Linked DNA regions of Saccharomyces cerevisiae S288C. The gene in region 2 interacts genetically with the main gene of each other region. Each region holds a gene or a part of one and is shown on either strand. Other genes may lie near its edges.

What was found.
Region 1: mutations in MSN5 (region 2) and ALT1 impair growth when combined (synthetic growth defect), as found in Saccharomyces cerevisiae (2 studies listed by BioGRID, with this or other methods).
Region 3: mutations in MSN5 (region 2) and ARD1 together harm fitness more than expected from each alone (negative genetic interaction), as found in Saccharomyces cerevisiae (3 studies listed by BioGRID).
Region 4: mutations in MSN5 (region 2) and SWI6 are lethal when combined (synthetic lethality), as found in Saccharomyces cerevisiae (4 studies listed by BioGRID, with this or other methods).

Annotation. Positions count from the first base shown.
Region 1 is NC_001144.5:316,263-322,406, forward strand, and holds ALT1 (alanine transaminase ALT1), read right to left. Parts: upstream 3,754-6,144; coding exon 1,975-3,753; downstream 1-1,974. Other genes in the region: GPI-anchor transamidase subunit GAA1, read left to right, coding at 1-1,689; XDJ1 (Xdj1p), read left to right, coding at 4,439-5,818; GEP5 (Gep5p), read left to right, coding at 6,035-6,144. UniProt on the Saccharomyces cerevisiae protein: Alanine aminotransferase involved in both alanine biosynthesis and utilization. Under respiratory conditions, constitutes the sole pathway for alanine biosynthesis and catabolism.
Region 2 is NC_001136.10:1,139,316-1,145,342, reverse strand, and holds MSN5 (karyopherin MSN5), read right to left. Parts: upstream 4,176-6,027; coding exon 501-4,175; downstream 1-500. Other genes in the region: translation initiation/elongation factor MRX8, read right to left, coding at 1-251; chromatin-remodeling protein SWR1, read right to left, coding at 4,867-6,027.
Region 3 is NC_001140.6:130,230-135,442, forward strand, and holds ARD1 (peptide alpha-N-acetyltransferase complex A subunit ARD1), read right to left. Parts: upstream 1,218-5,213; coding exon 501-1,217; downstream 1-500. Other genes in the region: retromer subunit VPS29, read left to right, coding at 1-219; SPO13 (Spo13p), read left to right, coding at 1,818-2,693; MIP6 (Mip6p), read left to right, coding at 4,325-5,213. UniProt on the Saccharomyces cerevisiae protein: Catalytic component of the NatA N-terminal acetyltransferase, which catalyzes acetylation of proteins beginning with Met-Ser, Met-Gly and Met-Ala.
Region 4 is NC_001144.5:515,256-522,210, forward strand, and holds SWI6 (transcriptional regulator SWI6), read left to right. Parts: upstream 1-2,684; coding exon 2,685-5,096; downstream 5,097-6,955. Other genes in the region: methionine adenosyltransferase SAM1, read left to right, coding at 7-1,155; VTA1 (Vta1p), read right to left, coding at 1,423-2,415; TOS4 (Tos4p), read right to left, coding at 5,288-6,757. UniProt on the Saccharomyces cerevisiae protein: Part of a complex involved in cell-cycle-dependent transcription. SWI4 and SWI6 are required for formation of the cell-cycle box factor-DNA complex. The repeated element in the upstream region of HO (5'-CACGAAAA-3') is called the cell cycle box (CCB).

The DNA.
Region 1 (6,144 bases), on a different chromosome or scaffold from region 2:
ATTTCTGAGAATGCATTGATGCCTTCACAAGCGTATAGTTACTTTAGAGAATCTGAATGGAACATTTTGAGGGGCTATCGATCTCAAATTAAAGAAATGGTAAACATGACTTCTATGGAAAGAAACAATTTGATGGGTTCTTGGTTACAAGAATTTGGTACTAAGACTGCTATTTACGAAAATGAACAATATGGAGAAACATTGTACGGTGTAATGCACGCTCCTAGGGGTGATGGAACAGAAGCGATGGTGCTTGCCGTTCCATGGTTTAATTCAGATGATGAATTCAATATTGGCGGCGCAGCTTTGGGTGTATCTTTAGCAAGATTTTTCTCACGTTGGCCAGTATGGTCCAAGAATATAATTGTTGTCTTCAGCGAAAATCCTCGTGCAGCATTAAGATCATGGGTTGAGGCATACCATACTTCCTTAGATTTGACTGGTGGTTCCATTGAAGCTGCTGTTGTGTTGGATTATTCGAGTACGGAAGATTTCTTCGAGTATGTAGAAATCTCATACGACGGTCTGAATGGTGAGCTGCCCAATTTGGATCTTGTCAACATCGCTATATCCATTACGGAACATGAAGGTATGAAAGTTTCTTTGCACGGTCTACCCAGTGATCAGTTAACTAATAATAATTTCTGGTCAAGATTAAAAATATTATGCCTGGGAATAAGGGATTGGGCGTTGTCCGGTGTTAAAAAGCCCCATGGTAACGAGGCATTTAGCGGCTGGAGGATTCAATCTGTAACATTGAAAGCACATGGAAACAGTGGTCATGATATTACTACATTTGGACGTATACCCGAAGCAATGTTTCGCTCTATTAATAACCTTTTGGAAAAATTTCACCAATCGTTCTTCTTTTATTTGTTATTAGCACCACGTCAGTTCGTATCCATTAGTAGTTATTTGCCAAGCGCTGTGGCTTTATCTATAGCATTCGCCATAAGTTCATTAAATGCATTTATAAACAATGCTTATGCAAATATATCCTTATTTTCCGAGTATAATTTGGTAGCGTTGTTGGTTTGGTTCGTGTCATTGGTGATATCATTTGTTGTTTCACAAGCGTTTCTTCTAATACCTTCATCGGGATTATTGATGACAATTAGCATGGCATCTTGTTTTTTACCTTTGATACTTTCCAGAAAAATTCACATCTCAGAACCACTATCATACAGGTTGAAAAATGTTGCTTTTTTATATTTCAGTTTGGTTTCAACATCTTTGCTAATGATAAACTTTGCAATGGCTTTACTGATCGGCACATTGGCATTTCCTATGACATTTGTGAAGACCATTGTTGAAAGTTCTAGCGAACATGAGGTGACAACTCAATCCTCTAACCCAATAAAAACTGAGCCGAAAGATGAGATAGAGCTCGTCGAGAATCACATGGATACAACGCCAGCAACCCCCCAACAACAGAAACAAAAACTAAAAAATTTAGTACTATTAATTTTGACAAATCCATTTATTTCAATAACCTTATTCGGACTATTTTTTGATGATGAATTTCATGGATTTGATATAATAAACAAACTGGTTTCAGCATGGTTGGATTTGAAATGTTGGAGTTGGTTTGTACTTTGTATAGGTTGGCTTCCATGTTGGCTATTGATATTAGCGTCATCGTTTGAATCTAAATCTGTCGTAGTAAGGTCGAAAGAAAAGCAAAGTTAGGTGCCATTGGTAAGAAGTAAAGGATTAACGGGTGTTCGAACTACGCAATTGATTTTATACGCACAAACATTACAAATCGAAGCAAAAGAAGATGAAATGATATGATATACTGATACAAATATGTATTAAATAAAACATAAGTATTGATGGAAACATGGCATAGAGAAGCGAAGATGCGATAATATCAAATAACTATATGTGAGTTGTGGAAGAAAGAAACGATCACATTATTATAATAAACTAGCTATTTAAATGTTTATTGAAGACTGTTCTGCCCCCTTTTATTCAGTCACGGTATTGGTCAAAAAATTCTTTATGGAAACTTTCCCATTTCTTAATCCATTCCAGACCAGGTGCCAAAAATGTTGTTCTTAAATGGTAAGTACCAGGTTCTTGACCAAACCCAGAACCGGGAACAGTGCAAATGCCAGTAGATTCTAACAACTTCTTACAATAAAATTCATCCGGAGTTAACTCTAAGTGGCGAGCTTCTTGAACTGCCTTGAAAGGTAAGTCTATCTTAGGGAATAAATACATGGCACCTTGAGGCTTTTGACATTCAATGCCTTCTAAAGAGTTAAATGTCTCATACAGTGTCATTGCTCTTGTAATTAACTTTTCATGGATGGAGTTACGTTCTGCTTGGTCCGACTCGAATGATTCCTCCCCTTCCACTGGTGGACGAACCATCAAATCAACCAAAGCTTGACCTGTGACAACGGGACACAATGAAATCGAGGCTAGTTTCAAGATAACTTGTCTCATCTCATGGCTGAATCCAGTGAGTTCCATGTAGCCACCCCTTTGACCACATTCACCAGAAACACCCTTAGAAGTCGAATGCAAAGAAGCTAGCTGAACATTATCGAATTTACCTGGATGTTCCCTCTGTAAATGTCTCAAAATTTTCTTCATAGAATGGAACTTGGTGCCCGGGAAGATATTTTCTTGATAAACTTCGTCAGCTATCACTACTGTACCGTACTTGGCTGCGACTTCAAAAATCTGAGCTATAGACTCAGGTGATAGGACAGCTCCTGTAGGATTACCTGGATTGATAACCACTAGAACTGTAGGTTTGATTTCGTTCTGTATAGCCTCTTTGACGACAGTTTCAATTTCTTCTGGATTAGTTGACCAACCTGAATTCTCATCTAAATAGTATGGTAAAGCTTGAGAATTGTTCAAAGCTAGAGTAGCGGTATATAATGGATATTGAGGAATTGGAATCAAGACACCCGTTTCTGGCCCTCTACAGAAAATTGATAACAAGTAATTGACAGCTGCGGATGCACCAGCAGTTAGGAAAATATCCTCTGGGTATGATATCTCGCCTTCGTCCCTCTTCGTTATAAATTCAGCGACACTTTTCCTTATACCTTCTACACCTTGAGAAGAAGAGTAAGCACCAACAGAACCACCGATATCTTCCATTAAACTCTTTGCACGTTTAATGGCATCTAGTTTAAACAATTTCGAATCAACTAGCTGCTGTTCGTTTTGGTTTAATAGTTCTGGGTATTGTAAGAGAGACAAGACCTGTCTGTAGTAAGTCAGAGGTTTCTGTTGTAGTTGCTGAGGATTACCAATATTGGCGTTGATAATCCTGTCAAATGGCAGAGATTGAGGATCCTTCTCCAGTTGAGCTTTCAATTCTTCAGCTCTCATTGGGATGGCACCTCTAACGGCGTACTTAGCCTTCAAGACATTTTCATTTACGTCTTCCAAAGTCAATTGTTCGGCGGGATAAAACTCGTTATTCGAAGTTTTCAACGTGTGGTGTGGAAAGCGATTCAAATGACGCAGGTCGTTTAGCGAAGATTGACCAGATAATGAACGTCTATGATTTTGAGCAACAATCCAGGAAGAGCTATGTCTCTGTAGGACGGGTCTAACTTTCCTGAAAGCTTTTAACTTTGTACTACTGGCTGAGGTAGAAAAAGGAGTAGTGATATGTGGCATTTTTTCTGCGCTTGAAGTGAGAGTCCTTATATGATATGACTTAATAACGTGAGTTATAGAATTACTCACTGTGAAGTGATTTTTGGCAGACAGTGATAACATCGTGGAGAGAGCAAAATAAAGACTGGGGAAATATATTTATATGCGTTCAATTGAGAAGCAGAAACAATTAAATGCGGGGGAGAAACAAAGAAGCTGGTCCTGTTCTCGAGCAACGTGTGACTAGTATGAACAACTAGAGTAAAATAGCGAGAAAGCAGTAGTAGTAACGGAAGAGCTTTTCCTAGTATGGTCCGCGGGTCACGATCGTTTACAAAGGGCGCAGCAAACTCTAAATACGTCAACCACAGCAGGTCAGAAGAGTACGTGAAGTTGTCTCAACGAAAGGTCGAAAATCGTTAGGCTTGGACCCCTTCAGAATGAAAAAAAAAAAAGACGCAAGAGTGAAAAAAAAACCAGTACTGTAAAAGCAGAAAACGTCTAATGGGAAGTGCTACTATGTAAGATTATATCATGAATGTGCTGTGTATTATATATGGATTATATAGCCACGAATATGCGGTAAATAAACATATGCATATATGTGTGTGGGGCAGCGCTCTGCTGTGCAATCCTTGTTTCTTTGTTTCTTGGGTCGGGATTTGAGTAGCGACGAGCCATCCTCTGCAGAAGGGAAGAAGAAAGAAAGGCAGAGAGGCAAAGAAAGAGTCAGGCTTATCTTATCTTAAGAGATATGCCGCTTGGACCCAAAAGAAAGGGAAAAGTAAGTACGCAGGTGTAGTTTTGAATGAGTGGCAGTGATAGAGGAGACCGGTTATACGATGTGTTGGGGGTGACGAGAGATGCGACCGTGCAAGAGATTAAAACTGCTTACAGAAAGCTTGCCCTGAAACATCATCCGGACAAGTATGTGGATCAAGACTCAAAGGAGGTAAATGAAATCAAATTCAAAGAGATCACTGCCGCTTACGAGATCTTGAGCGATCCGGAGAAGAAATCACATTACGACTTGTATGGTGATGATAATGGTGCCGCTAGCAGCGGTGGCGCTAATGGCTTTGGAGATGAAGATTTTATGAACTTCTTTAACAATTTCTTCAATAATGGAAGTCACGATGGAAATAATTTCCCTGGCGAGTATGATGCGTACGAAGAGGGCAACTCTACAAGCTCTAAGGATATCGATATCGATATATCTCTTACTTTGAAGGATTTGTACATGGGCAAGAAGCTGAAGTTTGATTTAAAGAGACAGGTCATCTGTATAAAGTGCCACGGTTCTGGCTGGAAACCAAAGAGGAAAATTCACGTTACACACGATGTGGAATGTGAATCATGCGCTGGAAAGGGTTCAAAGGAACGTCTGAAGAGGTTTGGTCCCGGTTTGGTAGCTTCGCAATGGGTGGTCTGTGAGAAATGTAATGGTAAGGGGAAGTACACTAAAAGACCCAAGAATCCAAAGAACTTTTGCCCCGATTGCGCAGGCTTGGGGCTCCTGTCAAAGAAGGAAATCATCACAGTGAACGTGGCTCCGGGACACCACTTTAACGACGTAATTACAGTCAAGGGGATGGCGGACGAGGAAATCGATAAGACCACATGTGGTGATTTAAAGTTCCATCTCACTGAAAAACAAGAAAACTTGGAGCAGAAGCAAATCTTTTTGAAGAACTTTGACGACGGCGCCGGGGAAGATTTGTATACAAGCATTACCATATCGTTAAGCGAGGCCTTGACGGGATTTGAGAAATTTTTGACAAAAACCTTCGACGACAGGTTACTAACATTGAGCGTTAAACCTGGCAGAGTAGTAAGACCTGGTGACACCATCAAAATCGCCAATGAAGGTTGGCCCATTTTAGATAACCCTCATGGCCGGTGCGGCGATCTGTATGTTTTCGTTCATATTGAATTTCCACCAGATAACTGGTTCAATGAAAAATCAGAACTACTAGCAATAAAAACGAATCTGCCGTCATCTTCATCTTGTGCCTCACATGCGACTGTAAATACTGAAGATGACAGCAACCTGACTAACAACGAAACTATATCAAATTTCCGGATCATTCACACGGACGATCTTCCAGAAGGGATAAGGCCGTTCAAGCCAGAAGCACAGGATTCAGCGCATCAGAAAGCAAGAAGTTCGTACTGCTGTATCCAATGATGGCATCAATAACTTTTTATTCTATTTTTTTTTTTTTTTCATAAGTTATCCTACCTGTATATATGTATATATATGAAATTCATTTACTGAATGCGGTGAAGAATGAAGTCTTTCGCACCTTCAGTAGAAAAATAGGAAGAATCCCCATCGCGGCGGACATAAAGCAAGCATACAAAGGCCTTCTATCAGAACAGCGATTGCGAACTTGGAGCAACAATGGCGTCCCAGGTTAACGCCTTATTACTGCCGGTCATAGAGTCTACGCCGCTTCATCAAATAACCAAGGTAGCATTGACGACCACACTCACAAGTAAACAAAGCGATTA
Region 2 (6,027 bases):
TTAACCTTATTTATATCAGAGTTAGATGGCTTTTCGTAATGTATGTTAAAAACATCGTTTAGTTTTAGCCAATTCGGAAGCCTTTCTTTTGGCCTACTATTAAGTTTCTTTTTAAGAGCTGTCTTGGGAACTTTTTTTTTAGCTTTTTCAACAGATAATTGCGTGGCTAGCGTTGTTCTTTTAGTGTTAGCAACAATGTTTTGTATAAAAGCCGCCGGTGTATGCACGTACCTCTTACACAGTTGTTCCATTGCCAATGGTTTCCTATTTCGCTAAAATATTAGGGAATATGTGAAGAAAAAATCTTCAGAAATACCTTGTTCAGACCCACATTAAAACGCTTGATTATATGCATATTTACCGGCTGCCGACTTTCATTAAAAAAATTGCGAATACAGAATTTTTTTTTTCACAATAATTACAATTTTTAGCACGATTCAGATGTCTATTTGCTTTCTCTAATTTCATCTACACATCTACGTATATATGGCACCTTATTATCAGTTGTCATCAAAGAGATTACCCACAGCACCGTCTTCAATGTTCGGATCATCCAGCATGTCTCCGTTTTCTTTATTCTTCTTAATTAATCTCTCATTTGCCTTCTTGAGGATAGCTTCCCTTTTCTCTTGTCTTTTTCTCTCATCGCCTGCATGGTCCACATTACCATCTTCTTTCCCACTGGTGGATTTAACCCAATCTATAAAATCAATCATGAGTGCCCTTTGTGTTTTGTATTCGTCCACGCTCCTTAAATTTCTGTATAACTCATCAATATTATAACCATTAGATATCTCAAAAAGGAACGCTCTAGCAGAGGGATATTCTTTGCACAGAGTCAAAAAAATCACAGTGAAAGCATATAGTGCCTCATGGAAAGAATCCTTAAACGCACTATTACACAGCACATTTAGCAACAGATTTTTCATCACTTCAAATGTGAAATATTCATCCACCGTGTTGTTTTGATTAAGGACTGAGGTTAAGCAGCATTTCATTACTAGGATGGAGTTAAATGAACATTTTGTATCCTTGAAGGAAATTAAATGGTTCAAAAGTTTCAAAAATGGAGCAAGGGTGTTTAAATCATTAAATATAATTTTTCTCATCTCCATTTGATGGTTATTTAGCCTGCTTTTAGCACTGTTTGGATTGGCATTGCCTTGACCAACACAATCAATTACTATTCTAACAACAACTGTGGTTAGTTGTCTCAACAAATTCTCTTCCAAAATTTCTTCAGTCATTTGATCATCGTCAGTTGGAACTGGGTTCATGTCCATATCATTCATATGCGAGGACCATTTCTGACATAGCAGCAGGTCCAGGATTTCAAATAATTTAGGCAAAAATGCGGGCATGAATTTCCCCAGACAATCTTTTGGACAACCTTTTAATATAGGACGAATGGCTATATTCATTATGTGTTTCCATCCATGTGTTGAAACTCCAGGGCTTATCTCATTGCTACCTGGCTTAAATATGGCAATAGAGTTCAGTAGTAGGTCGGGCGATTCGTCCAAAAGGTAAAAAACACTACCAAGTGATGATATGGCACTTAAAACAAGTAGAGTGTATTCCCTTGTATACCTAATGATGTGTCCTACGGAGTCGGCGAAGTCTCGTAAGGTTTGCATCGCTTTCATATGTTCATCAATAAACTCATCCTTTGATTTATTTGAAGCTCCGGCCTCCCAAAATCTTTCAATAGTGGAATACTTGACGAAGGATTGCACAACCGTAGGTAATCCTTTCCAATTATCTGGATCGTGGTAGGATTGCAATTGGTACAGTAGTCTCGTGATGTAAGGTAATATTGGGACAATCCTAGGTCTCCACAGATCTTGTAGCATTTTGAATTCTTCATCTGTCTTTATACTTTGCATTGAATAATGAATGAACATTCTTGTTGCACGAACAGGAAACAAGCTTTGCCAACGTTTGGTCAATTCCGACTTCAGCTCTTTACCCTCATCATCAATTGGAATTGATAAAAGGTCACTATTTTCGTCGATATCACGCCTCTGGAAATATTCTGCGATCTGAACAATACCTAAGCGTTCCATAAACCAATGCAAATCAGAAAGACCAACAACTGTTGTTTTATCAGACCAGGCTAAAAGTTCTGGATCCACAATAGCCGCAAATCTTTCCTCTTTCATATCTAATGAAGACTTCAATACAATGATCAATAAGAAGGATTTGAAGGAAATTTTTTCATGGTAAGATAAGTTGGGCATGATTCTGGCAATGACACTTTCAAGGTCTGGGTATATTTTTTTCAGAGATTCGGGCATTAATAAAGCCATCCTATTCAACTCGATACCACAAGCATATCTCAAATCTCTAACTGCGTCTGATTCAGCGCCTCTCTCTTCCAAATTAATTTCTGGATAGTCCATCGTGGCGCTTGTTATGATTTTTTCTAAAAGTGTGAAAAGCACATTATCTTTTAACATTGTCAAAAAAAGTGCAAAATTTTGGATTTGTTTCTTCAATAACAATGGTTCTCTTAAATTTAATGCAATTAACTGGTTTGACAAAATTTCCAGTTTTTGTAATATGGAATCTAGTTTTTCGTCATAATCATCTCCTGTTGGATACCAGATCTTCCATCTTATACAACCATTGATGAAACATTCAACAATCATGTATTGGGAGAGGGCACCTAAATAAGGCTCTAATTTATGGTCCAAAAATGTGGAACTTAAGACCTGCTGACCAAATGGAGAGCTGAAATAATTGTTTAATCTGTTGTTCAACCAATCATAAGTAAGGTCTAATTCGACGCAAGAAATCAACCTAATGATGTCTCTTATTCTTTTCCTATAAGTGGAACAAAATGTTTGAAATTCGGACTTGGATTGAAAATCAATCTCCGCAAATTTTTTGGAAATATGACCATCAATCTGTTCATAATAGACTAAAGCATCCGCGGCAAACTGTAGTAGATCAGGAATGACATATTTCTCCAGCTTGGGTAAGTATTCATCGTTTCGAAGACAGGTACACCATAGGTCTAATGTTAATCCGCTAACGATTAAGCTTGGGTTATAAGTTGTCTTTAATACAAGCTTAAAATATTTTTGAATTTGGCCATTTGTCTCCTTAATCTTTGGGACACAAACATAGAGACAACTGATCATATCCACGAACTTTTTAATTATAGGATATTTCGTTTCATCTATATCATCTGTAGGATCAAACAACAAGCTTTCATAAACGCTATCTAATAAGTCCATATTATCAAAAACTCGATCTATGGTCATTTGGTAATGGCTTTCATTACTATAGGGACGGGTCAACAGAATATGTATCGAGTCTAATGCCATTGACTGCGCCCTTGGGATATTGCTGGATAAACAAGTCAATAAGGAGGATAACACGTCATTTCTTACAATGACCTCTGTTAATGGCCAGTTTAAACACGTCTTCAGAGTTTCTAAAAGCCTTATGATGTATTCAGAATTATTCTGTTGTAATGCATTATTCAACTCTGGAATCCAAACAGAAAACCAGCCCTCTTCATTAGCTTTAAATTTGGTCCATTTATCACTGAATTTGTATTTTATTGCGAAAACTTCAATAGGGCAAACAATCATTACACATAAGGGTTGAATAACCGTCATCCTTTTCAAAACAATTAGGTCGTCCAACAAGAAAACATCTTCAAAAAGGATTCTGAAAATTATTAATGCTAGTTCTCTTGACGATTGATTTATGTTCCAAAGTTCGAAAAGGTTATTGTCCATGTCCACCCAAGATGTGAGTAACTGTTCTTCCGTAGGGTTTGTCTGCTTAAGAGCCTCACCCCATGTTCTTTTTGCCACCTCTACCCATAAAGTGGCTAATTTTTCCTTAATATATCTGGTATCATAATCTTGCACCCCAAAATTAAGTTCCATGACCCATTTTCTCAGGGCCACTCTTTTCCCCTCGTCATAATCATTCCAGTTTTTCTTCACTGCATGGTCTAGTAATCCTAGTCCAAAGTATTTCAATATAGAATTAGTGGGGTTTTGCAATGCAATTTCGTAGCCCCAAAAGGGCGATTCTGAGCATAATTTCACTTCATCTAAAAATTTCTGAGCTTCTTGCCGTTGAGAATTGTTAGACTTGGGGGAGTAAATAACATCTAGTGCGCTAACAATCTGAGAAGCGCCTGTGGAATCCATTACTTTTCTTCCAATCAACGTTAGAAAAAAAATTTCAGATTCTAAAAATTCAAAAAGTGATTAAAAGGAAGAAAACAAAATATACTATAAATAATTTCAATAGTTTATCACAGTAACAATTGCTACACGAATGTAAAGAGTGAATATGGTTTTTAATGGCTAATGCAATGACACCTTACGTTCTCGCCTTGTTTATTTTTCTGTTTTGCTCTTCTTCCGATCTACAAAACTTGAACGGTTGCAACAAATAGGGGGATCTAATCAGGGTGTACTTAAAAGAACGGCTCTTCTACAGGCTCAACGAATAAAGATAGGCTAAAAACACACACGCTCGTCACTCCAGCACCTCTGTTCAATGGAATCTTGCTCTTAAAACTCTTTGACAAATATTACTACATCAAAAGCTTAGTACTCTTGAAGTCTCTTTGGAAAAACCAACCTTGATCGCGCAGCAATGTGGCAATGCCCCTCCGCTGTGGCGCGCCGCCATCACCCGGTAAATAGAAATTGGTGACCAAGGAACAATGCCATGGTGAGTACATTACCATAAAAACCAAGAGGCGATAGTGTTGTCGGAAATAATAATACAATTTGTTGATTCATTATGGCTATATATCATTAAAATATTCACAATAGGTATATAGTCCGATTTGGACAACTAAGGCAGCGGTGAAGAGTAGAACCTGGTCCTTCAATAATAATAACCGTTGGCAATAAACCTGATCATGTACTCGTCAACATGGGCAGTGCCCTCATACTCATCAAGTTCAGCATGATTTTCTTCCTCTTCATTAGCTGCTTTTTTTTCTGTGCTTTCGTCGAAATCGTCATTGTCAATTTCGACTTCTCTCATGGCTAAGTTTGCAGCTTTAACATCATCCTCATCTTCCGCTTGCGCAAGAAGTCTTTCCAGTTGTCTGGGATCTTTGGCTGCCACATCTGCATCTGCTATTAGTGGTTTATCTCCACCTGAAGCATTTTCGGGCAATTCGGATCCCAATAAATCTCTCACCGAAAGTTTGCTGAAATAATCTGTTGTGAAGTCACCCTCTTGAATAACAACATTATCCAATTGTCTTTTTTGGTTGGCTTTTTTTAAGATATTGCTTTCTATGGTATGTTCGCTGACAAATCTGTAAATATGCACATCTCGAGTCTGTCCAATTCTGTGACATCTATCTTGACACTGTTTGTCCATGGCTGGATTCCAATCTGAATCGTAAAAAATAACTGTATCTGCCCCAGTCAGATTGATACCTAGCCCTCCTGATCTACTTGATAGGATAAATACCGTTATTCTTGAGTCAGTGTTGAATCTCTCTGTTAGGATTTGACGGTCTTCGATCTTTGTGGCACCATCTAGTCTCATATACAAATAACCATGATAGTTTAAAAACTGTTCCAGAACGTCCAAAACTTTTGTCATTTGTGTGAAGATAAGTGCCCTATGTCCATTGTCCTTCAGCTGCTGTAATAAAATTGCTAACTTCTGCAATTTACCACAATCGTATTGAAGCAGCGATTTGTCCGGGAATGCGATTGTTAATTTGGTTTGCAGTTGGTGTAATGGGTTGGATACTTCAAAACAGTTCTGCATTACCTTTAGCCTTGTGTTTTCGCCTACCGAACTGTCATCATTTAATCCCAATGCCAACTTTCTCATATCTAGTGAGACGGCACTTGGGGTTAACACTGCAAAGGTATCTATGATCTTTCTATTATCCAATACCCTGGTTTGCAAGGGTTTTATTAGTTCATTATCAATAATGCTTGATTTATCATATTTAACCCTTCTATCTTTCGTTAATAGGTCAATAAGGTTCTTTCCGAATATGGGTCTTCTGTCGCATCT
Region 3 (5,213 bases), on a different chromosome or scaffold from region 2:
GGCACTGCTGGGGAACGTGAGAATGAGAATGAAAGCAACGTTAAGCCTGAAAACCAATTTAAGGAAGACGAGGTTGATATGTCAGATTCGGATATAAATGGGTCTAATTCACCAAGTTTCTGCCTCTTGGATATTCAAGGCAATACCTGCACGTTATACATTTATTTATACGTTAATGGAGAAGTGAAGGTCGATAAAGTGGTTTATGAAAAGGAATAGGGTAGCCATTTTCATTTTTATGCATTTCTATGATGTCTAAACATTAGATGCATTCGTGAACTTTTTCTTGCAGACGAGATAGATGTAATTAAGATATCCTATCTGCCGGATATTACATATATAAAAAAAGAAAGCTTGCATGCACAGTTTCCTTACTATTCATGCTCACACAATTCTACCGAATTAGCACTGCAGTGTTTAGAACCGTGCTCAAAAAGAGCTAACAGAGCTTGTGAAGAAGCCTGGATGAAAATATACTACGTTTATATAGGTTGATTTAATTATACAATGATATCATTTACGCCTTGCTTAATGATATCCTCTAGTAGATCGCTTTCTAGATCGTCTTCTAGTTTTTCCTCATTCTCTTTCAAACGGCGATGGGTGAAGTTGCTTATCTGCAACTCCTCTAATTTTAAAACCTTCTTCATGGCGTATGCATCTTCACCATCCTGATAGTAGCTTTTCTCGATACTCAACACCTCAAACGCCAATGTGTCCCTGTACAAGTGTAAAGCTGCTCTATTAGATTGTCTCACATGCAAGGAAACATATTCCGCTTGATGAACTTCTCTCAACGCAAATAAAGCTTGTCTCATTAAGTTTTCGGCAATCCCCATCCTTCTATAGGTTCTCATGACACTTAAGGAAGTAATATGACCATTTGGTGGCTCGTTTTGCTGGTCGGGGTCGTCGTTCATCTTCACGAGAACGTATCCAACTAATTTTTCGCCCGGAGCCAAGTATGTTGGATCCAACTTGATTGTCCTGCCGTCATTGGTCCCATCTAAGGTCAATTCCAATTTGTCGTTCTCATCTTGTTCATCACTATCTTCACAGTCCAAAGTGGTGGTAGTAGCAACAAACGAAGCCTCTGGCCACGAGAGAATATGATACATATAATATTTCATCATATAATTTTCGGGTAGGTTATGAAGGTTGGCATTTTGCATACATATAATGTCATTGATTGTCGCTCTGCGAATATTAATAGGCATGGTTGACGAAGTTTTATTTTGGAGCTTGATCGTATGTATTTAGGTTTCCCTTTTCACTTGGCAATTACTCGTTGCTGACAAAAGGTTTCAAACTTTTCAGACGGTGCTTTTTTTTTCTGTTCAAAAAACCAATTGACGCGAGAAAGTGAGGATTGAGCCTAGAGATCAATAAAGACAAATTAGCATTGGATGCAATACTACTAAAGCAAGCGCTTTAAGAGAAAATATTTGTCCTGGAAGTCTCATGGAGATTATACTTTATGAATTCTTTATCTCCGGGCAGAAGGCACTTCAGCGTATCATTTGTTCCATGATATTTTCTGAATAAACTTCAGAATTATAATACACAGTATTTACACATCTAATTTTTGACTACAGTATAATATTCAAGCTTCTTGATTTACCTGCAGTTATGCTTAAATTCACATTTGAATTCTTTAGTATCCGTTTAGCTAGTTAGTACCTTTGCACGGAAATGTATTAATTAGGAGTATATTGAGAAATAGCCGCCGACAAAAAGGAAGTCTCATAAAAGTGTCTAACAGACAATTAGCGCAATAAGAAGAAAGAAAACGGATTGAAGTTGAGTCGAGAATAATTATGGCACCCAGAAAACGCTTTAGGCTACTCGAATTAGGGTCACCAACACATTCTAAAAGGAAAGTTCAAAAACCTCTTCAAGAGAAGACCCCAAACTTGCGAGTTTCTCCACTTGCTTTTAAAATTGGTAAAGAAATCAAGAATAAGGAAATCAGAAAAACAAAAAAAACAGAATCAGAAAATATATTCAATTCGAAACATGTCGATTTAAGACTAGAAAGCCCACATCCAGGATTAAATTTTGTAAGTGATGCTCAACAGTACTCAAAGGCTGGAGATGTTCGATATTTGAAAAATAAATCAAGCAATACCTTGAAAAACGAAAGACAAACAATAGAGCGCCCCTCATTTGATAATTCCTTAAGGTTCGAGGACATTGAGCAGCCTCCAAAATCTACTTCAACGCCGGTTCTTTCTCAATCTTCTCAAATAAATGTAGAAAGAGAAGCACCCATGTTTCCAGTTCCTTACTATATTGCTCCTTCTCCTATGTATAATTTTAGCCCGTATCAAAATTTCGTTGGAAACCCAACGTTCCTGACGCCAAGTCATAACCCAAACCTAAACTATGCCATTCCCATCCAACGGCCGGAGTTGCTTTATCCGAATGTTAACGTATACGATTCGCCATTGTTTAAGAAAACAAGACTGCCCCATCAGACCAAAAGTCTAGATAAAGAAAAAAATTACCAATATCTTCCAATATATCCGGTCTCGATTTCTAATAACGGAGATTTTGTTGGCCAAGAGACACCAAGGGCAGCACCAAAGTTAAGTAAAAAGAGACTTTCAAATACATTGGATGTTAATTGTTCCGATTATGAGTCTAGTGGACAAAATGCAACTTATAATGATAGTGAGTCTTCCCTTAATTAAAAAGATTAGTTTACTTTTTCTGTAGAATGTTAATTAGTTTATTGCATAGAAAATCTTTAATACTGAATGACAAAATTTCCACAATTTTTTTTAAAAAAATTATCGACAACTGCAGGACTCGAACCTGCGCGGGCAAAGCCCAAAAGATTTCTAATCTTTCGCCTTAACCACTCGGCCAAGTTGCCACTTATTATATAAGTCGTAAGCATAATATCAGGATCTTATGCCTTAGTATAAGTCAATTGAAATTGCAATCCTTGTATGTTTTATATTAAATTTTGGGTGAATAATTGGATAATTGTTTGAAATCCATTGTTGAAGAAAGGCTATAATATTCGTACACAGAGTATACTAGAAGTTCTTCTCGAGGGTCTTGGAATCCACAAAAAGGCGTCGATAAATCTCCATAACTATATTACTTTATCCTATTACATTATCAATTCTTGCTTTTAGCTTCTATTGTATTTGATAAAATATTTCGGCTTCTTTTATGTGTATGCGATTGCGTATTACTAAATATAAATTTATATTTCCTGCGACCATTTGTCCGTCAGAAAAGGCTCTCAAAAAAACAACACTACCCTTTTACCGGAAATCACAAACTAAATGTTAAAATAAGAATTTAACATCATCCATTGATTATGAATATTGAGTGAATGATTTAATGATTGTTGCGATTTCCTTGTTGGTGAAGGCTATGATATCAGCTATGCAGAATATACTAGTAGTTATCCACCAGAACATAAGAATCCTCAAAATGTAATTAAAAATCCACTATCGTCTATCAACCAATAATTATACTATCAATATATTATCATATACGGTGTTAGATGATGAAATAAGTTATGAGAAGCTGTCATCGAAGTTAGAGGAAGCTGAAGTGCAAGGATTGATAATGTAATAAGATAATGAAACATATAAAACGGAATGAGGAATAATCGTAATATTAGGTTGTAGAAATATAGATTCCATTTTGAGGATTCCTAAATCCTCGAGGAGAACTTCTAGTATATTGTGTATACCTAATATAATAGCCTTTATCAAAAATGGAATCCCAACAATTATCTCAAAATTCACCTAATTCTCAGAATCTGTATTTCGACATAAGGTTATTATGATTATTTCTCCTTCCGTTCTATATTTTTCATTACCCTATTACATTGTCAATCCTTGCATTTCTGCTTTCATTAGAATTGATGACTGTTTCTCAATGTTTATGCCATCTTCTTACAACTTATTTGACAATAAACTAGTAGCGTGAGTACTAATAAACGGATGATATTTTGAAGTTTCATAACAACAATCAAAATTTGATGTATTTCATTAAAAATTGATTGATTTTGGGTAATGCAAGGATGACGTATTCGATCATGATTTTCAGATCGACCAGTAAGTTCCGGTCCTATAGTGTAGTGGTTATCACTTTCGGTTTTGATCCGGACAACCCCGGTTCGAATCCGGGTAGGACCTTTTTTTGCTAAAATGAACTTGTGTCACAAATTCCGTTCGAAATGGCGGTCCTTTTCCAATAAGTTTTCTTTTTATGGCATTTTTAGCAATTAGAGCTTACTTAACATAATGAATTATCCAAGTCAATAAAAGCAGAAATACGAAAAATTCCCTAAAAAAAGATGCCAAACTCTCATGGTAATGTATTGAATAATATCTCTTTAAATAGCAAGCAAAATCCCAGATCGATTTCTAAAAGTTGCCCAAATGATAAAGATGCAAGGCAGAAAAGCTTCAAAACGATATCAGCCCAAGCACTAGTACGCGTGCAAGGAGCTGGATATAAGCTCGGTGATGTGAAATTAAAGGATGCTGAAGTCAAAGAAAAGAATAGCCTCAAAAAATACGATTGTAAAAATGCAACTCAAGAAAAGAAAGAACAAGAGCAAGTATTTGAAAAAACTGTTGCAAAGGGAAGCGTGCAAAAATATATCACGAAAACTTCAAAGACAAATAGTTTGTTTATAGGAAATCTGAAATCAACTGTCACTGAAGAAATGCTAAGGAAGATATTCAAAAGGTATCAATCTTTTGAATCTGCTAAAGTGTGTCGTGATTTTCTCACCAAAAAATCATTGGGTTATGGCTATTTGAATTTCAAGGATAAAAACGATGCAGAATCTGCAAGGAAAGAATTTAATTATACGGTTTTTTTTGGTCAAGAAGTTAAAATAATGCCATCTATGAAAAATACATTATTTAGAAAAAACATCGGAACAAATGTTTTTTTCTCTAACTTACCACTGGAAAATCCCCAACTGACCACAAGATCATTTTATCTAATAATGATCGAGTACGGAAATGTACTGTCATGTCTTCTAGAAAGAAGAAAAAACATTGGGTTCGTTTATTTCGATAACGATATTTCTGCTAGAAATGTAATCAAAAAATACAATAACCAAGAATTTTTTGGAAATAAAATTATATGTGGATTGCATTTTGACAAAGAAGTAAGAACTAGACCTGAATTTACAAAAAGAAAAAAAATGATTGGCTCCGACATAGTTATCG
Region 4 (6,955 bases), on a different chromosome or scaffold from region 2:
GAAAATATGGCCGGTACATTTTTATTCACTTCTGAATCCGTTGGTGAAGGTCACCCAGATAAGATCTGTGACCAAGTTTCCGACGCCATCTTGGACGCTTGTTTAGCCGAGGACCCTCACTCCAAAGTTGCGTGTGAAACCGCGGCAAAGACTGGTATGATTATGGTCTTTGGTGAAATTACTACCAAGGCACAGTTGGATTACCAAAAAATCGTCAGAGACACCATCAAGAAGATTGGTTACGATGATTCCGCCAAGGGTTTCGACTATAAGACCTGTAACGTCCTTGTCGCCATTGAGCAACAATCTCCAGATATCGCCCAAGGTGTCCACGAGGAGAAGGATTTGGAAGACATCGGTGCCGGTGACCAAGGTATCATGTTTGGTTACGCCACAGATGAAACTCCAGAGGGTTTGCCTTTGACTATTCTTTTGGCTCATAAACTAAACATGGCCATGGCTGACGCGAGAAGAGATGGCTCTTTAGCGTGGTTGAGACCAGACACCAAGACTCAAGTCACCGTCGAATACAAGGATGACCACGGTAGATGGGTTCCACAAAGAATCGACACCGTCGTCGTCTCCGCTCAACATGCTGACGAAATCACGACCGAGGACTTAAGAGCGCAACTAAAGTCCGAGATCATTGAAAAAGTCATCCCAAGAGACATGTTGGACGAAAACACCAAATACTTTATCCAACCTTCCGGTAGATTCGTCATCGGTGGTCCTCAAGGTGACGCTGGTTTGACCGGTAGAAAGATCATCGTCGACGCTTACGGTGGTGCCTCATCCGTCGGTGGTGGTGCCTTCTCCGGTAAGGACTACTCTAAGGTTGATCGTTCTGCCGCTTATGCCGCTAGATGGGTTGCCAAGTCCCTAGTTGCCGCTGGTTTATGTAAGAGAGTTCAAGTTCAATTTTCTTATGCCATCGGTATTGCGGAACCATTGTCCTTGCACGTTGACACCTATGGTACTGCGACCAAGTCTGACGAAGAAATTATCGACATTATCAGCAAGAACTTTGACTTGAGACCTGGTGTATTGGTCAAGGAGTTGGACTTAGCTAGACCAATCTACTTGCCAACCGCTTCTTATGGCCATTTCACAAACCAAGAATACCCATGGGAAAAGCCTAAGACTTTGAAGTTCTAAGCTTTTTTCCTTTTGGACTTTTTTCTGCCTTCAACCTCCCATGTTTTCATTTGCTCAACACAAGTCAACATGTACATTATACCGTATTTGATGCAGGGACGCAATACCATCATATTCTTGATATAGACTCATTTTTCTCAAATCAAATTTGTATCGATTTCATTTTGCATTATACAGGATTCCTTTTCCTTTCTAACATTTAATACGTAACTACTAATATTAATATATACCTCCTTCAACGGATCAACAAACCAAACTTTATCTTATTCAAATAGAATTTAACAGATCCAACGCCTTAGTTAACTCATCTTTGGCGGTGGGCAGGTCTTCATAATTCAATGCGCTTATGGCGTATTTGGCAAGTTTTTGAATTTGCTCTATTTTACTGGCCCTGTCCATAATTTTTGTCAACTCATCCTTTGTATACGATTTATGCTCTGCTGCAGCAGGTTCTGATGGTGCAGAAGGGCGCGTAAGATCCACTTCTTTCTTCACAACTTGTTGTTCGTCTTTTGTTATTGCATCTTCGTTCTTGTCGACGGTCTGTTCTTCTTCGTTTACGCTATCGGCATCATCAATAAATTCAGGTACCTCATCCACAGGCTCGTATGATGTTGTTTGGTCTTTTGGGGCTAGGCCTTCGACTTTATCATTATTATTGTTTTCCAAATCGCTTGTCTGGTGATCAACATCTTCATCCTTAATCTCCTCGCTATCATCCGCAAAATCTGCATAATCTAACGTTTTCTCGTCGCTGGAACCAATTTCACCCTTTGCCAATTTACTCAAATAAATTTTGCAATACTTAATTCGTTTTTGTAATGAATTTGTACTCGTTTCACTTATATTTTCCTTCCACAGGTGTAAAATGCATGAAAATAAATCAATACAACACCAAAGTGATCTTTTTAACATAACATCCCAGGGACCATCTTTTAGCTGTTTCAGTTTCTCGTTATACAACGACATTGTAAAATTTAGCATATAAATTTTGGCTTTTTCTTGATCATGTATTAGCGTGTTCATAACGTGTAAGCTTTTGTCACTGTCTTCTGCTTCACTCTCGCCGCCAATCTCCTTCTTAAACGCTTCAATAGTATCAAGAAGTTCTGTCGCTAGTGCGGTCATCTCTTGCGACCGATCTTCTTCACTCAGTATCAATTCCACCGCATATAACTGAAGATAGTATCCGATGATCCCTAACCCAACTTTGTCAAAATCCTTCGCTGTAGCGACAACCCTTGCAGCGTTACTAGCCATAGAATTTATTTAAAATGTGGACAATTAGTTTCTAAAAATTGAATCAAATAAAATAAGAAAGCTTATTGTTCCTTTTTTTGTCTTCATCTGGACCGTTTGGATAAGATCATTCACCAAATCTTAGTTTTTTTTTTTAGTTTCCTTCTCCAACGATTTCATAATAATAAAAAAAAACAACAAAAAACACGATTGAGAAACATCAATATGAACTAAGCAATAGCTAAAAAAAAAAGAATAATAAAGGGGAACACAGTATAATTCTCGAGAGGATGGCGTTGGAAGAAGTGGTACGATACTTAGGACCTCACAATGAGATCCCTTTGACACTCACTAGAGACTCGGAGACTGGCCATTTCCTCCTGAAACATTTTCTGCCCATTTTGCAGCAATATCATGACACGGGGAATATTAACGAGACCAACCCCGATAGTTTCCCCACTGATGAGGAAAGAAATAAATTACTGGCACATTATGGAATTGCTGTAAATACAGACGACCGAGGTGAGTTATGGATAGAGCTGGAAAAATGTTTACAATTATTAAACATGCTAAATTTATTCGGTTTGTTCCAGGATGCATTCGAATTTGAGGAGCCTGAAACAGATCAGGATGAAGAAGATCCCAGCCATTCGAAACTACCAGAAAACAAGACCAAAAGTGAAAATTCTAAGGATAATATCAGCTCAAAGAGGATTAATAATTTACAAGATATGAGCCTGGATTCTGATGCACACAGAGAATTAGGCTCTCCTTTAAAAAAACTAAAAATAGATACCTCTGTAATAGATGCTGAGAGTGACTCCACTCCGAATACTGCCAGAGGCAAGCCTAACGATGATATTAATAAGGGCCCTAGCGGCGACAATGAAAATAATGGCACTGATGACAATGACAGAACCGCTGGACCTATCATAACATTCACTCATGACCTAACTTCTGACTTTTTAAGCAGTCCACTGAAAATCATGAAAGCACTACCTTCTCCAGTTGTAAATGATAATGAACAGAAGATGAAACTAGAGGCATTCTTACAACGGTTGTTATTTCCAGAAATTCAAGAAATGCCTACATCCCTTAATAATGACAGCAGTAATAGAAATTCAGAAGGGGGGAGCTCAAACCAACAACAACAGCACGTATCATTTGATAGCCTTTTGCAAGAGGTAAACGACGCTTTTCCTAATACTCAATTAAATCTTAATATTCCTGTAGATGAGCATGGAAACACACCATTACATTGGCTGACTTCAATAGCAAACCTGGAATTAGTGAAACACCTGGTTAAGCATGGTTCAAACAGATTATATGGTGATAATATGGGGGAGTCATGCCTAGTGAAAGCTGTCAAATCAGTAAATAATTACGACTCTGGTACTTTTGAGGCACTTCTAGATTATTTATATCCATGTTTAATTTTGGAAGACTCAATGAATAGAACAATTTTGCACCATATCATTATTACGTCTGGTATGACTGGCTGTTCAGCAGCTGCGAAATATTATTTAGATATTTTAATGGGATGGATTGTCAAGAAACAAAATAGACCCATTCAAAGTGGTACTAACGAAAAAGAAAGCAAACCGAATGACAAAAATGGGGAAAGAAAGGACTCTATACTAGAAAATTTGGACCTGAAATGGATAATAGCAAACATGCTCAATGCGCAGGACTCTAATGGCGATACTTGCTTGAACATTGCAGCAAGATTGGGAAACATTTCAATAGTAGACGCTTTATTAGATTACGGTGCTGACCCATTTATTGCAAACAAATCAGGGTTGAGACCCGTGGATTTTGGGGCAGGTACTTCAAAATTACAAAATACGAACGGCGGTGACGAAAACTCGAAGATGGTCTCTAAGGGTGATTACGACGGTCAAAAAAATGGAAAGGCCAAAAAAATAAGGTCTCAACTGTTGAAAAACCCACCTGAAACAACTTCGTTAATTAATGATGTCCAAAATTTACTGAATTCAATCTCGAAAGATTATGAGAATGAAACAGTGCAATATAATGAGAAATTAGAAAAACTACACAAGGAATTGAACGAACAGCGAGAAGAATTAGCTAATTCTAGAGAACAACTAGCAAATGTGAAGCAATTGAAAGATGAATACTCACTAATGCAAGAGCAATTGACCAATTTAAAAGCAGGAATTGAAGAAGAAGAGGAAAGTTTTAGGGAAGAGAGCAAAAAGCTAGGAATAATTGCAGATGAAAGTTCAGGTATTGATTGGGACTCTAGCGAATATGATGCAGATGAACCCTTCAAAGTAGAGTTCCTTTCAGATTTCTTGGAGGATAAATTACAAAAGAATTATGAAGGCGATATTTCCAAACTATTAGAAGCGGAGTCGAAAGAGCAGATAATGGAACAGATACGAAATCAACTTCCCGCAGAAAAAATCCAATCGATGCTTCCACCAACGGTCTTATTGAAGGCAAGAATAAATGCATACAAGCGGAATGATAAACACCTAACCAATGTATTGGATACAATCAGCACCAAACAATCAGAATTAGAGAATAAATTTAGAAGAGTGTTATCTTTATGTTTGAAAATCGACGAAAATAAAGTTGACAATATGCTTGATGGTTTGTTACAGGCCATATCTTCTGAAGACCCACAAGACATTGACACTGACGAAATGCAAGATTTTTTAAAAAAGCATGCTTCATGAGGGCATGTGATTTCATTGCATTAACTTTTATGACTTTATTTGAAGTTATTTTTTTGTTTTAGCGCTTTATTTACTTTTATTTTACTACATAACTGTATTCTTACAAAATTTTTACGTACTCAGATGGGATATATAGGCACTTGATGTTTTATTTTCTTGTTCTTATCATATATCCGATGGAATAAAATGTTCTATTTTGCTGGCTTTTTCCAAAAATATTGTTTATGTGTCCTTCTACAAGATCTTAAGCCTGTCCTTCCACCTTTTAATGAACTCACCAAGTTTCTTCTCTCGTAATCATCATCGTTTTCTAAATCGTAGAAATACTCTTCGTCCAATGGTTTGCCGGCGGCGTCCTTACCATGACGGTAAATGACACCGACACATTTCGCGTCGCTCAAAATCGAACGTAATTCATCTCTTGAAAGCTCAGAAATTTGTGAGTTCACCTGCTGTAATTGGAATAATGGCGTCTGCTGGACGTTTGCAAAAGCTAGGTGATTGGTTAAAATATGCTGTAGATGCATAACATCAATATTTCTTCTAGATAGCTCATCCAAATTCTCTTTCACCGATTTTTTTGGCTTTGAAGGTAAGACCCTCTTGTTAAGTTTTGGTTTCTTCATAGTCATAGGATTTTTATCAGATGATAGTGAATCTTGTCTCAGGGTTTGTTCCTCGTGATCAACAGAGGAGACGGATGAAAGTGGGGACGATTTAGAATTTAGGAAGTGGTTTAGCATCCTTTCTGCAACGCCAGAATCACTACCAATTGAGATTTTGTTGCTATCCTTAAGTATTTTTTTGGGTCTGTCCATCGAAGTGTCAGTAAAAATCAATGGATGCTTCCTTATACTACCCATATGTTTCGTTTCACTTTCACTTTCAAATTCAGCTTTCTTCTCGAATCTTAACGGCTCTGAAGAAGAGTTTTTTTCTTTTAACGAAATGCGAAGTAAAACCTGCCTAAAATCCAACATGATACCCTTGTAATATGTCATATAAACGGTGTCTCCCTCTTCCAGAGTGAAATTAATGAATCCTCCCTCGTCTTGAATTTCTTTAACACATTTTTCGTTAGAGAATCTGGGAACAAGCCTATATGCCCTATTATTGTTATTCATGGTATCCTTTAATTGATAACAATCAAATTGCTTACGATAGGTAACGATTAATCCGTTCATACTGAAGCAGTGAATCTTCACTTCATTTGTTTGTGGTAAATAAGTTATACTAGCGTGTACTCTGGATATGAACTTATTCTTACAGAGCGCAACATCACATTGCGAACTATTGCGCCCTACAGTAATGGTGCTGATCTTGCTAGGATCTAGTTCAGCATTGATGACTCTAGTATGCCTTGAAGGAGAAGAAAGTTTGGAAGAAAACTTGGGTGACGTTTCTGCCAACTGGCCAGGAAAAGCTGGAGAGGAAGGGATGGCGTCAACCTTATTCGACCTAACGGGAGACGAAACCCTTCCTATACTGGAAGAAGGAAATGGAGTTGGATAATCTCCTTTCCCGAAATTTCCAATTGATTCTGACGCAGTTTTACCAGCTTTCTCATAATTGGATGAGGGACAATTAGGCTGCTGTTTGTAATTTGGTGGAGAGTACGGATCCACTGTCCTGTAGGGGGACGAAGGAAATTGCGAGCTCATGCCTTCTTGTGATTATTAATCTTTGATGTGTCGTGGCAGATGTATATGGACTTTTGTACGTAAAGTAGATTGCTATAATTCAATTCTAAATGAATGAAAGTAGAGAAAGAGTTTCCATTGATGAATTTTAGTTTACGTCGACTGCCGCTGTTCATTCTCATCAAAACACGAAAGCAAACCATAGAGATGAACTTAAGA